Callithrix jacchus: one gene and its partners. The protein of the gene in region 2 interacts with the protein of the main gene of each other region in a pairwise test. Links are inferred from orthologs where the notes say so. Each region holds a gene or a part of one and is shown on either strand. Other genes may lie near its edges.

The links.
Region 1: the proteins of FLNA (region 2) and RFLNA interact in a two-hybrid assay, tested with the Homo sapiens proteins (2 studies listed by BioGRID). The two-hybrid records come from large-scale screens. The link is inferred for Callithrix jacchus from reciprocal best matches to the Homo sapiens genes FLNA and RFLNA.
Region 3: the proteins of FLNA (region 2) and PELO interact in binary tests that used the Homo sapiens proteins (3 or more experiments, as listed by UniProt). The link is inferred for Callithrix jacchus from reciprocal best matches to the Homo sapiens genes FLNA and PELO.

Annotation. Positions count from the first base shown.
Region 1 is NC_133510.1:127,496,521-127,500,170, forward strand, and holds part of RFLNA (refilin-A), read left to right. Parts: intron 1-2,514; coding exon 2,515-2,624; intron 2,625-3,650. UniProt on the Homo sapiens protein: Involved in the regulation of the perinuclear actin network and nuclear shape through interaction with filamins. Plays an essential role in actin cytoskeleton formation in developing cartilaginous cells.
Region 2 is NC_133524.1:150,150,624-150,154,273, forward strand, and holds part of FLNA (filamin-A), read right to left. Parts: coding exon 3,382-3,650; intron 3,300-3,381; coding exon 3,126-3,299; intron 3,042-3,125; coding exon 2,879-3,041; intron 2,803-2,878; coding exon 2,642-2,802; intron 2,551-2,641; coding exon 2,380-2,550; intron 2,030-2,379; coding exon 1,906-2,029; intron 1,820-1,905; coding exon 1,663-1,819; intron 1,138-1,662; coding exon 948-1,137; intron 789-947; coding exon 765-788; intron 1-764. UniProt on the Homo sapiens protein: Promotes orthogonal branching of actin filaments and links actin filaments to membrane glycoproteins. Anchors various transmembrane proteins to the actin cytoskeleton and serves as a scaffold for a wide range of cytoplasmic signaling proteins.
Region 3 is NC_133503.1:157,029,658-157,032,196, forward strand, and holds the end of PELO (protein pelota homolog), read right to left. Parts: 5' UTR 2,168-2,539; coding exon 1,442-2,167; intron 1,157-1,441; coding exon 725-1,156; 3' UTR 523-724; downstream 1-522. UniProt on the Homo sapiens protein: Component of the Pelota-HBS1L complex, a complex that recognizes stalled ribosomes and triggers the No-Go Decay (NGD) pathway.

The sequences.
Region 1 (3,650 bases), on a different chromosome or scaffold from region 2:
GTGGGGACGTCTTGGAGCCTCTTCTTCGAGGGTCTCAGCATACAACATGCAGTGGTCATTTGGGGCTGGGCTGGGCTGGGCTGCCGGCGGGAACCTCACCCACGGCCTGCCTCCCCGCAGGGCAGCTGGTGCAGGGTGCTTGCTGTGACAGTGAGCGGGTTCTGGACCCGCCCCGGCCAGCAAGACAGCTGCCCACGTGTGGAGGGTGGACTGAGGATGGCGTTTTTCATCCTGCTGAGCTGTGATGGATTGAAGTTGACCGGCCCCATGTGGCTAGTGGCCTCTGTATTAGAATCCTAGAGCCCATGCACGGGGCGGGGGGGCAGGGCTGAGAGTGTGCGGGTGTCCTGGGTGATGTTTGTGGCTGTGTGGCCCCGGTGCCTAATGGGGGACTCCAGGACACAGTAAAGTGCAGGACCTGTGGCCTGTGGGACCGCAAGTGAATTTCACCCCAGGATCACATCCTGAGTGGCACTCCCCATTACCTGGTGGTCAACCCCTTCTCATGCCCGCAGCACCCTGACGACCGCAGTTGGCATCTTAGTCCATTGGCAGGACACTGTTGAGAGTAGCGGGAGTCAGGCAGCTCCACCAGGCGAGAAGGCCCTCTGTCTACACTAGCAGTACAGAGCGCAGGGCCAGCACACAGTAGGAGCGCAGTGAGTGCGCTGGTGGAAGACCTCTGGCGTGTCCACAGGCGTGTCTTCACATGTGCACTCCTGCGTTCTCCGGCGTGGTGCTAGCCATATGCTCTGGTCCAATCTGCACGGCCCCAGTGAGGAACAAGATATCTGAAAAGTAGGCGGGTCCTTTAAAGCCCTGTCCTTCACCTCCCTGAGCCCTTGGTGCGGGCACGTGTAGTTCCAGCAGAGGCCTAGGGAGCAGCCTTGCAGGCCCCCTGCTGTCCCTGAAGGGGAGGGGATGCTGTGTCACACACAACCCCAATCTCGGTGGCATTGAAGAGCAGGGCTTCTCTTTGGCTCTCACCACGTGTTCCTCGTGGGTTGGCCATGACTTGAGTGTCCCAGCAGCACCCAAGGAGAACATCTAGCGCAGCCTTAAACAGCTTTAGGGGCTGGGCACTGTGGCTGACACGTGCAATCCCAGCATTGTGGGAGCTCAAGTTAGGAGAATCACTTGAGCCCAGGAATTTGAGACCAGCCTGGACAGCATAGTGAGATTCTGTCTCTGCAAACATCATCTTTTAAATTGGCTGGGGCATGGTGGCATGCACCTGTAGTGCCCACTGTGTGGGAGGCTGAGGTGGGAGGATCGTTTGAGGCTGCAGTGAGCCGTGATTGCACCACTGCACTCCAGCCTGGGTGACAGAGCAAGACCCTGTCCTGGGGGAAAAAAAAAAAGTCTTTGGGAGCAGAGCCTCCTGGTCCTCCCAGGTGAAATCTCTACTTCAAGGTCTCACTTTGCTGGGCTGGCCCTGAAGGACGCCCAAGTGTACATGGACAGGGCTTTCTTGGGTTGGTGGCAGAGGGGGATGGCCGGTGAGCTGAGTCTGTGTGGGGTGGAGCTCTTCGGGAGGGAAGAGTTGGGGGGAGGGCAGCGTGTCACGGAGTTAGCTTGAGGAGAGACTGCAGGGCCTGAAGCCTGCGTTTCCAGAACCAGTCTGAGGCTGAACCAGCAGTGGGCTGAGCTGGGGGCGCGGGAGGTGGACCGAAGGATAGGGTGGGGTCCTTAAGCCTCTTCCTAAGCTCCAGGCAGGGGCATGCCCTTGAAGGTCTTTGCTTCCACAGGGAGTGGAATTTTCGGACAGATTTTAAAACAGACCAGAGGAAGAACTTCCCAGCGTGGAGCTGTGGGGTGGGCTGGGGAGGGGAATAGCAAGTGCTTTCTTTGTGTCTGTCTGAGGGGCTCTTTCTGAAGAGGCTGCGGGTGGTTTCTCTTCCCATAGAACTCTCTTTCCCACCTTGCCAAGATTCTTCTAGCTGCAAGTGACAGAAAGGCAGCTCAAATGGTCTGAAGCCTCAAAATGGATTTGCTGGTGCTCACAAGTTAGGGACAGCTTCAGGTGTGGCTTGACCCAGGCATTTGAACAATGTTGGCAAGACTTGATCTTTCACCGTCTTTGACCCCTGCTCTCCTCAGTGTAGCTCTATTTCCACATGGTTTCCACCCCCTGCCCCCACATTCTTAGCTCCCTTGGCGGAGGGTGGGGGGACTGTCCCCACAGCTCTGGGCTCTCACTGGCCCAGTGTGGGTTACCAGTCCTCGGGAACATGCGGTGCCATTTCTAAAAGAGGTGGATGCTGCCGTGGCCATGGCCGTGCCCCTTGTTGAGAACTGGGAACTGGGGGGCAGGCTGGCTGTGGGGAGCTGGGCAGATCCCCGAATGCCTGGATCCCAGGGAGGGCTCTGGGCGGGCTTCCTGATGGGCCCCACAGACAGCTCCCAAACCAAGCCAGGGCCACAGGGTGTCAGATGGTCCTGTGTGCCCAGCAGGGAGCTGAAGCCGCTGCCACAAGGGGCTGCATAACCCTGCATCCCTGGCTCTCCTCACAGGCCCCCTCCCAGCCCTCACGTCCCCCCGCGTCCGAGATGAGGCCCCGGATGCTGCCGGTGGTCTTTGGGGAGACCATCAAAGTGAATCCGGAACCCACGCACGAGATCCGGTGAGTGGGCTGCTGGGCTCTGTGCTGGAGGAGGGGTGGGGGTTGGTGGCTGGTCCTGACTCTCCTGTGGGGTGGGGGTGGGAACTAGGCCAGGGTAGGGGGCCCAGGAGGCTCCCTACTGTCTAGGCAGCCCCTCTGGGTGCTGCGTCCTGGGGAGGATGGCCGTGTGTTGGCCAGAGACAAAATTGACTTTAAGATTCTGACCCCAAGGGACCCCCTGTAGCCACCCCACACCCCACCCCAGGCCTATTCAGACATTTCCCCATTTACCTTCTCTTTTTATCTTAAATCCAACATCCCAGAAAATCTGGAAAATTATAAGCAGAACCACTCATGCACCCTATGTCTCCTTCCCTTTTCCTGCCAGATTTTTTTTTTTTTTTGAAATGGGATCTCACTGTGTCACCCAGGCTGAAGTGCATTGGTGCAATCATGGCTCGCTACAGCCTCAGCCTCCTGGGCTCAAGCATTCCTCCTGCCTCAGCCTCCCGAGCAGCTGAGACTACAGGTGTGAGCCCCCATGCCTGGCTCATTTTTGTATTTTTTGTAGAGATGGGGTCTCACTATGATGCCCAGGCTGGTCTCCAACTCCTGGGCTCAAGTGATCCTCTTGCCTCAGCCTCCCAAAGTGATGGGATTACAGGTGTGAGTCACTGCACCTGGCCCCTGACAGGTTGTTAGGTGTTCACAGCCAAACCATTCAGGCAACTCAGGACCCCTTTCCGCTCTGTCATCCACGTGTTAGGGGGACACTCAGCTGCTCCATGTTCTTTGTGACTATAACTTAGGTCCTTGAGGCCACCCATGAGCTACTGCACTGCAGATGTACTGGGTGCCCTCCCAGGCAGATGACATCTTAGGTGGCATATGAATTGAATGAAGTCGCTCCTGCTTGGGAACTCACCACATCTGAAGCTGCTGGGGCTCAGGCTGCCCAGAGGTGGGGTGTGGGGTCTGAGAGTCTTGCCCATATATCTGTGGGGCTCTCTCTATCCACCTGTCCCTGTCGAGTGGGGCCAGCCGAGC
Region 2 (3,650 bases):
CCCCACGGCCTGCTCTATAAAGCCACCTCGCTCCTGCCACAAAACTCTAGCCACCCTCTAACCCTCTCCTTGGCCACCTTGCCCAAGTGCCAGGCCTGCAGACTCTTATCAGCATCCCTGGGTGTCCCTGTTGAATGTCTGAATAACGTCACTGCTGGGGGATCAGGGAGGGGGAAGGAGGGAGACGGGCCACAGAATGCACTTTGGGGCTCTGAGGCTGGGCTGCGCCCCGCCATGCTGGCCGCCCAAGCAGTCAACACTGGTGCTACTGCACTACCAGCCAGCCCCACCCGCTCATGCACCTCCCCCAGCCCGGGACACAGAGGCCCCTGGAAGGTGGGGATGGGAGTCTGTGGATCTGGCCAGGGCTGGGGCTCCCATTGTGTTGGGGAGACCCCTTGTTCCCTCAGCCCACGCAGGAGCCCTTGTGTTTCCCTGGGTGCCAAGATCCCGAGACCCCAAAGTCCCCAGTGGGGTGCCTCTCAGGATGCACCTCACCCCAAAGCTCTCAGCTGCAACCCGAGTTCTCAGATGGGGAAATAGAGGCCCAGAGAGGGGAGGGCTGGAGCGATCATGCTCAGCTCCGGAAGCCTCCCTGGGCCCTCGCCCTCCCGCCCATGGCCTCATCTTCTGTGCCCCCCACCCCCACTCTATCCCTGCCTAGAGCTGCAGCTGGAACTGTCCTGGGAATTGGCCCCAAGAGGAAAGGAAGCTGCCCCTCTGGACAGGAGGGGCATTGGGAGTGGCCCCAGCAAGCAGCTTACCTAGCCCGTGACCTCCGATTGACACTGAGGTGAGAGGGCAGAGAGCAAGGAGAAAGGTCAGGTGAGTCACTCAAGGGGGCGGCCCCCACTCCCACACGCCGCCCCAAGCAGCGAGCCCTTGCACACAGGCACAACCCAAGCCCCGTGCCGAGCACAGCGGCGGCCAACGGCAGGCTGGCTCACCTGTGACTGTGCACTTGCTGGCGTCCCCGGTGGGCACGGCGCGAACGCGGTATGGGGAGAAGGGGATCTCATCACCACCGTACTTGATGAGGATGGTGTAGCGACCCGTCATGTCTGGCACATAGGCCACTGTGTAGGTGCCGTCATGGTTGTCTTGAATGTGTGTCTTCTTTGGCTTGCCCTCGGGGTCCTGTGTGGCAGAGGCAGGGGAGACAGTTGGCCTCCCGGAGTGGCCAGCGCCGCTGCTACAGGGATAGCCTCTGGGCCCCAGGCCTCTCAACTGCCCTTTATTTCCCTACAGGCAGAGTCCACAAGGGAGACTAAAACATCCAACACCCCCCACTGACAACAGGCACGGCCAGGGAGCCTGGCACCCATCCTCAGCCCCAGGTCCTGTCCAGCACACCCAGGTGATCTCAGGCTTCTCCCTGCCCCATGAGAATGTTACAGGTAGGGACACTGAGGCACAAAAGGCTTTGGTAATGTGCTCAAAGTCAGCAGTGAGCAAGTGCATGTCTGGGGGAGCCCAGGCCTATCGCCACCATCCTAAGTTGGTTACAACCTTAGCAAGCCAAAGGCTGTGGCCCTGTCCTTCCCTGCCCTCCTTGGTGCAGTGCCCCAGGGAGACCAGACGCCAGCCTGCGCCACCGGCAGCCCACACTCCAGCCACCCAGGCCCAGACCCCTTGCCTCCCCTGCCTGTGCCTGGAGCTCACCGTGATCTGGACAGCCAGCAGGCCCTCCCCGGCATCCTTTGCATCGATGGTGAACTCCACGGGCAGGCTGGCGGGCACGCCAGTAGTGTTGAGCCCAGGGCCACTGGCCTTCACCTTGCTGGCATCATGAGTAGGCAGCACCTTGACCTTGAAGGGGCTGTGGGCAAGGGTGTCGTGAGCAGTTAGATAGGCTCTAGGCATCCAGCCTGGACCTCCCCTCAGGCAGCGGGCCCTGCCTCTTACCTCCGGGGTACCTCTTCATCTCCATACAGTACTGAGATGCTGTAGGGCCCTTCTCGGCTGGGCACGTAATTGACGGTCTGGGTGCCATCAGCATTGTCCACCACATCCACTGGCTCCACCAGGCCTAGCCCCAGGCCCAGGGACACAGCCTCAGCTCATATCCTGGGCCTCCACTCCTACCCCGCCTCTCAATGGCCAAGACTCAGCCCCAGGCCTAGACCTTGCTTCATCCCCATCAGCCCGACCCTGGGAATGGCCCTGACCCTCTCTGGCACAAAAGACGCCCATCTGGGTGCCAGCTGGGACCCTTGCCTGCGTGCCGTCCTGCCACATCTGCTAAGTGACAAAGTCCTATCTGTTCTACCTCCTCCCAGTCCCCCTCCTGGCTGCACTGTCATGTGAGGCTCTTCCAAGAACACCTGCACACTAGCAGTCTCCTTCCCGACTCCCAGCTCCAGGCATGCAAACACTCACCTTTGGGCCCTTGCACTTTGACCTGCAGTGGGGCCACACCAGCCTTGCTTGTGTCCACCTGGAAGGACTGAGGAAGGTTGGCACGAACCATGCCAGGACTCAGGCCCGGTCCAGAGCACTTGACCTTGGATGCATCTGTCACATCATGCACAGGTACCTTGAAAGGACTGCCTGAGGGGTGGGGCAAAGGCATGGTGGCTATATGAGACAGGGTGGGGACAAGCAGATAGTCCCAGCCCTGCGCTGGCCGCCACCTCCTCACCTGGCACTTGATGGCCACCATAGGTGACGTTGAGGCTGTAAGTGCCAGGCTCATAGGGGATGTACTCGACTGAGCAGCTGCCGTCCTTGTTGTCCATACAGGACATCTTGGCCTCGGAGGGGCCCTCTACAGCCAGGCCCAGGCCTCCTGTGCCAGCTCCCCTGGTCCAAAGAGACAGCTGCTCATTCTCGGGGTTCCCAGGTCCAGCGGCCACACGGGCACCCGGGGCCCCCTCACCTGGTCTCCACAGTGAACTTGTTGGGCTTGTTGGTGGTGCCGCTTTGGATGCCCGGCCCATGGACACGCACCCGGGAGGGGTCACAGCCCTCGGTCACAGGCACCTGGAAGGGGCTGCTGGGCACAGGGCTGCCATCGTAGGTCACGTCCACAGAGTGCAGTCCTAAAGGAGTGCAGGCCAGGTCAGGAGGAGTCCGGGCTGCGATACCCACCCCGCCCACCGGCCTGCAGGAGCCCCGGCACGGACCCTCCTCATAAGGGGTGTACTCCACTTTGTAGGTGCCGTCGCCGCGGTCCTGCACATAGGTCTCTGTCAGGTTGCCTGACGGGTTGGCCACACGGGCCTTGACGTGTGGCCCTCCAGTCTGTGTGAGGGCCCGGGCGTCCACACTGAACTCAGTGGTGGCCTCTCGGAAGACGCCTGCAAAGGGACACAGGGAGGAGACTTGGGGCTCTGGTCCCTATATCCCCACTGCCACATACCGCACAGCAGGGCCACTCACCCTGGCCCTCAATCCCAGGCCCGTAGCACTGGACGCCGGAAGTGTCCACTGCAGGCTCCACCTGCAGCTTGCTGGGGAAGTTGGGCACAGGCTGGCCTCCATACTTGATGGTGACAGTGTAGGCCCCAGGGCAGAGGGGAATGTATGTGATGGTGTGCGTGCCATCGCCATGGTCCTGGATGTACACCTCGGCTGGTAGCCCTGCCTCTGAGCAGATCTCGATGGTCAGCTCTGCACTGCCCGCGCTGGAGCAGTCCACTTGGAATTGG
Region 3 (2,539 bases), on a different chromosome or scaffold from region 2:
AAAAAAATAAAGATGCCTCAAAAAGATTATTTTGACAATCCCTAGCAGATCAAAGCTCTAAAATCTAAAAACAACGAATTAAGTGACCCTCTAAATCAAATATGACTAATTCTAAAGACAACAAAACAAAACCAAGCATTTCCTGTCAACGTGACTGGTTTAACATGTTTTAAGAAAAATATTTAAAACTTGTCTTTGAGTCTATTAATTGCATGGCAATCATTTAAAATAGTAAAACTCCTTAAATTAAAAAAAAATGCAGTGTGTGGAGGTGGGGAGAAGAGGGATCATTAAATGCAATGCAAGAATACCATGCAGAATTAAAATAAATGATGTAAACTGAGGATAAGGTAGCAAATACTTTTTCTAAGGAAAACTGTTTCAAAGCATGCAGTATGAAATTTCATGATCTATCCCAAACAACATACTGCATAGGCAATGTTATTAAATACACGTTTTCTGTTTCCAAGTACTACAAATAACTCATTATTCCTATACAAAATTAATTAATAAAAATGGTAGTACGTGGTGATTATTTTTTAGTTTATTGTTTAAATACATGACTTGCCAATCACAAAATATCTAGTGTAACCAAATACATAAGAATCCCTGTGTGAATCAAAAAGTGCCACTCTTGCAGCTTTCTGTCACAAGGATGCTGAGAAATGTACTGTAATAGTTTAGGAGTGAGACACAAGATAGTCTCAATTTTAAGTTTGAATCATTAATCCTCTTCAGAACTGGAATCATCCTCTTGGTCAGAGAGTTCAGGAACAGGGAAGCGGAGAATGGCAGCTACTCCAGTCAATTGGCTGAGCTGTTCCCCAGAAACGTGAAGACTAGAGAATATCCTAACGGTGCCTGCGTTCTCTTTCACACTGTCCACCAGCCTCACATACCGGCTCCGTGTGGCTACATCCTGATGCCTGAAGAGCTCATCGCTGATGAGCAATGTGTCAATTGCCATGGCTTCATTGGCCTTCTCTACCTGCTTGAGTCCATAGAAAGCTCGATCTGGTTCATGTTGTAACATTTTATAGAAGTCATCCAAGGCTTTGACTTCCCCAGCAGCTTTAGTATCTGAAAGGCGGCTAGCTACAGTAGGGTCACAAAGGGCCTCTTTCAGGGAGTACTTGTGTCCGGAGGAGGCATGTACCTAAAATCACAATTACAAAAGTTAGGCAAAATAATCTCTTAGAACACCCATTAATCAGCCCACAAAGGCTTAAAGCCAAAAGCACTAACAAGGCTTTATATGTTTAAGGAATTCAGCAAAGTTTACGTAGTCATTTAACATTCTCTTTTTACTTCATTATCTCATGATAATCTCAGCTAAGTAAAAGACTTTCTCTTCTCATTTTTCCTAGTTCTAAAACTTTAGTAGTAGTTTATACAAATCCCTCTGCCCGTTCTTAACTATCCCTGGGTAAGATTGTTTTACCTGAAGAAATTTGGATCGGTTTTCCAAGAGCAGTTTGTTGTCGGTCTTCACAGCTTGTTGAAACATGTAGTCGCAGAACTGCTCCCTCACAAATCCTGGGCTGGCCACCAGGACGCACTTGACAACATCAAAGTGTATGTGACGCTGGATAGCCTGGACCACCTGTTCATAGAACCGCTCCAAGGCCCGGTCATGCTGAGAGCAATTGCCTTTCCTTTTCCTAGGGATGTTCACCTCCACCTTGGCCCGAGTGAGGGTCATGCTGGGAGTGACTAAGCAGATATGGGCGAGGCCTTCCTGCATGACCACAGCTGCCACATCAGCGCTCCAAGCTGGGTCACAGGCCTGCTCGATGCGCTCGAGAACCACGCTGTCCCACTGTTTCTTGGCCAGGGTGAACTGGCGGTTGGGCTCCAGCTCGATGGTGTGGTAAGCTCCCATCTTGACATACTCATTCTCTTGGATGTTGGTCCCCTTAACCCGCAGCTGGCAGGCTTGAGAGTCGAAGTCAATGGCCTCCACACAGAGAGTGAGGGTAGTGCGGACCCGGTTGCTGCCCACGCTGCCCGTGGAGGACTCGGTCTGTACCTTGCGGATAGTGGAGGCGCGCAGGCTGTCACCCACCTGCACGAGGTTGTAAGTGTGCCACATGTCCTCGGGCTCCTCGGGGACCAGGGTCACCTGGCCCGCATTGTCCTTCTCTATGTTCTTCCTCACGAGCTTCATGGCCTAGCAGGGGCTCAGTGACAGAACTAGAGGAGCCAAGGAGGTCCTCACCTCCGCCCAGGGAGAGGGGATGAGAGTGTAGGGCGGGAAGGGGGCGGGGCCCGGTTCCTACGGGTACTTGCCTGGCGGGAAGAAGATACTCTTGCTTCTACTCATACAGCCGAGGAGAGCACTTCCGCTATCCTTTCGTCTCTGGGTTTCCGGGCGGGCTGCGCCTAACAGGCGCGGGAGACACAGCGGCGAACAGCGTCTTCTCCACTGCTCCCGTTGGCAGCATGGAGCAGCGGGCTGATGTAATGAAGGCGCATGCGCAGTCCGCGTCGCGCGCCTAGTCGCACGTCTCACGTCCCCAACGGAGAGGCGGGGCCGTAG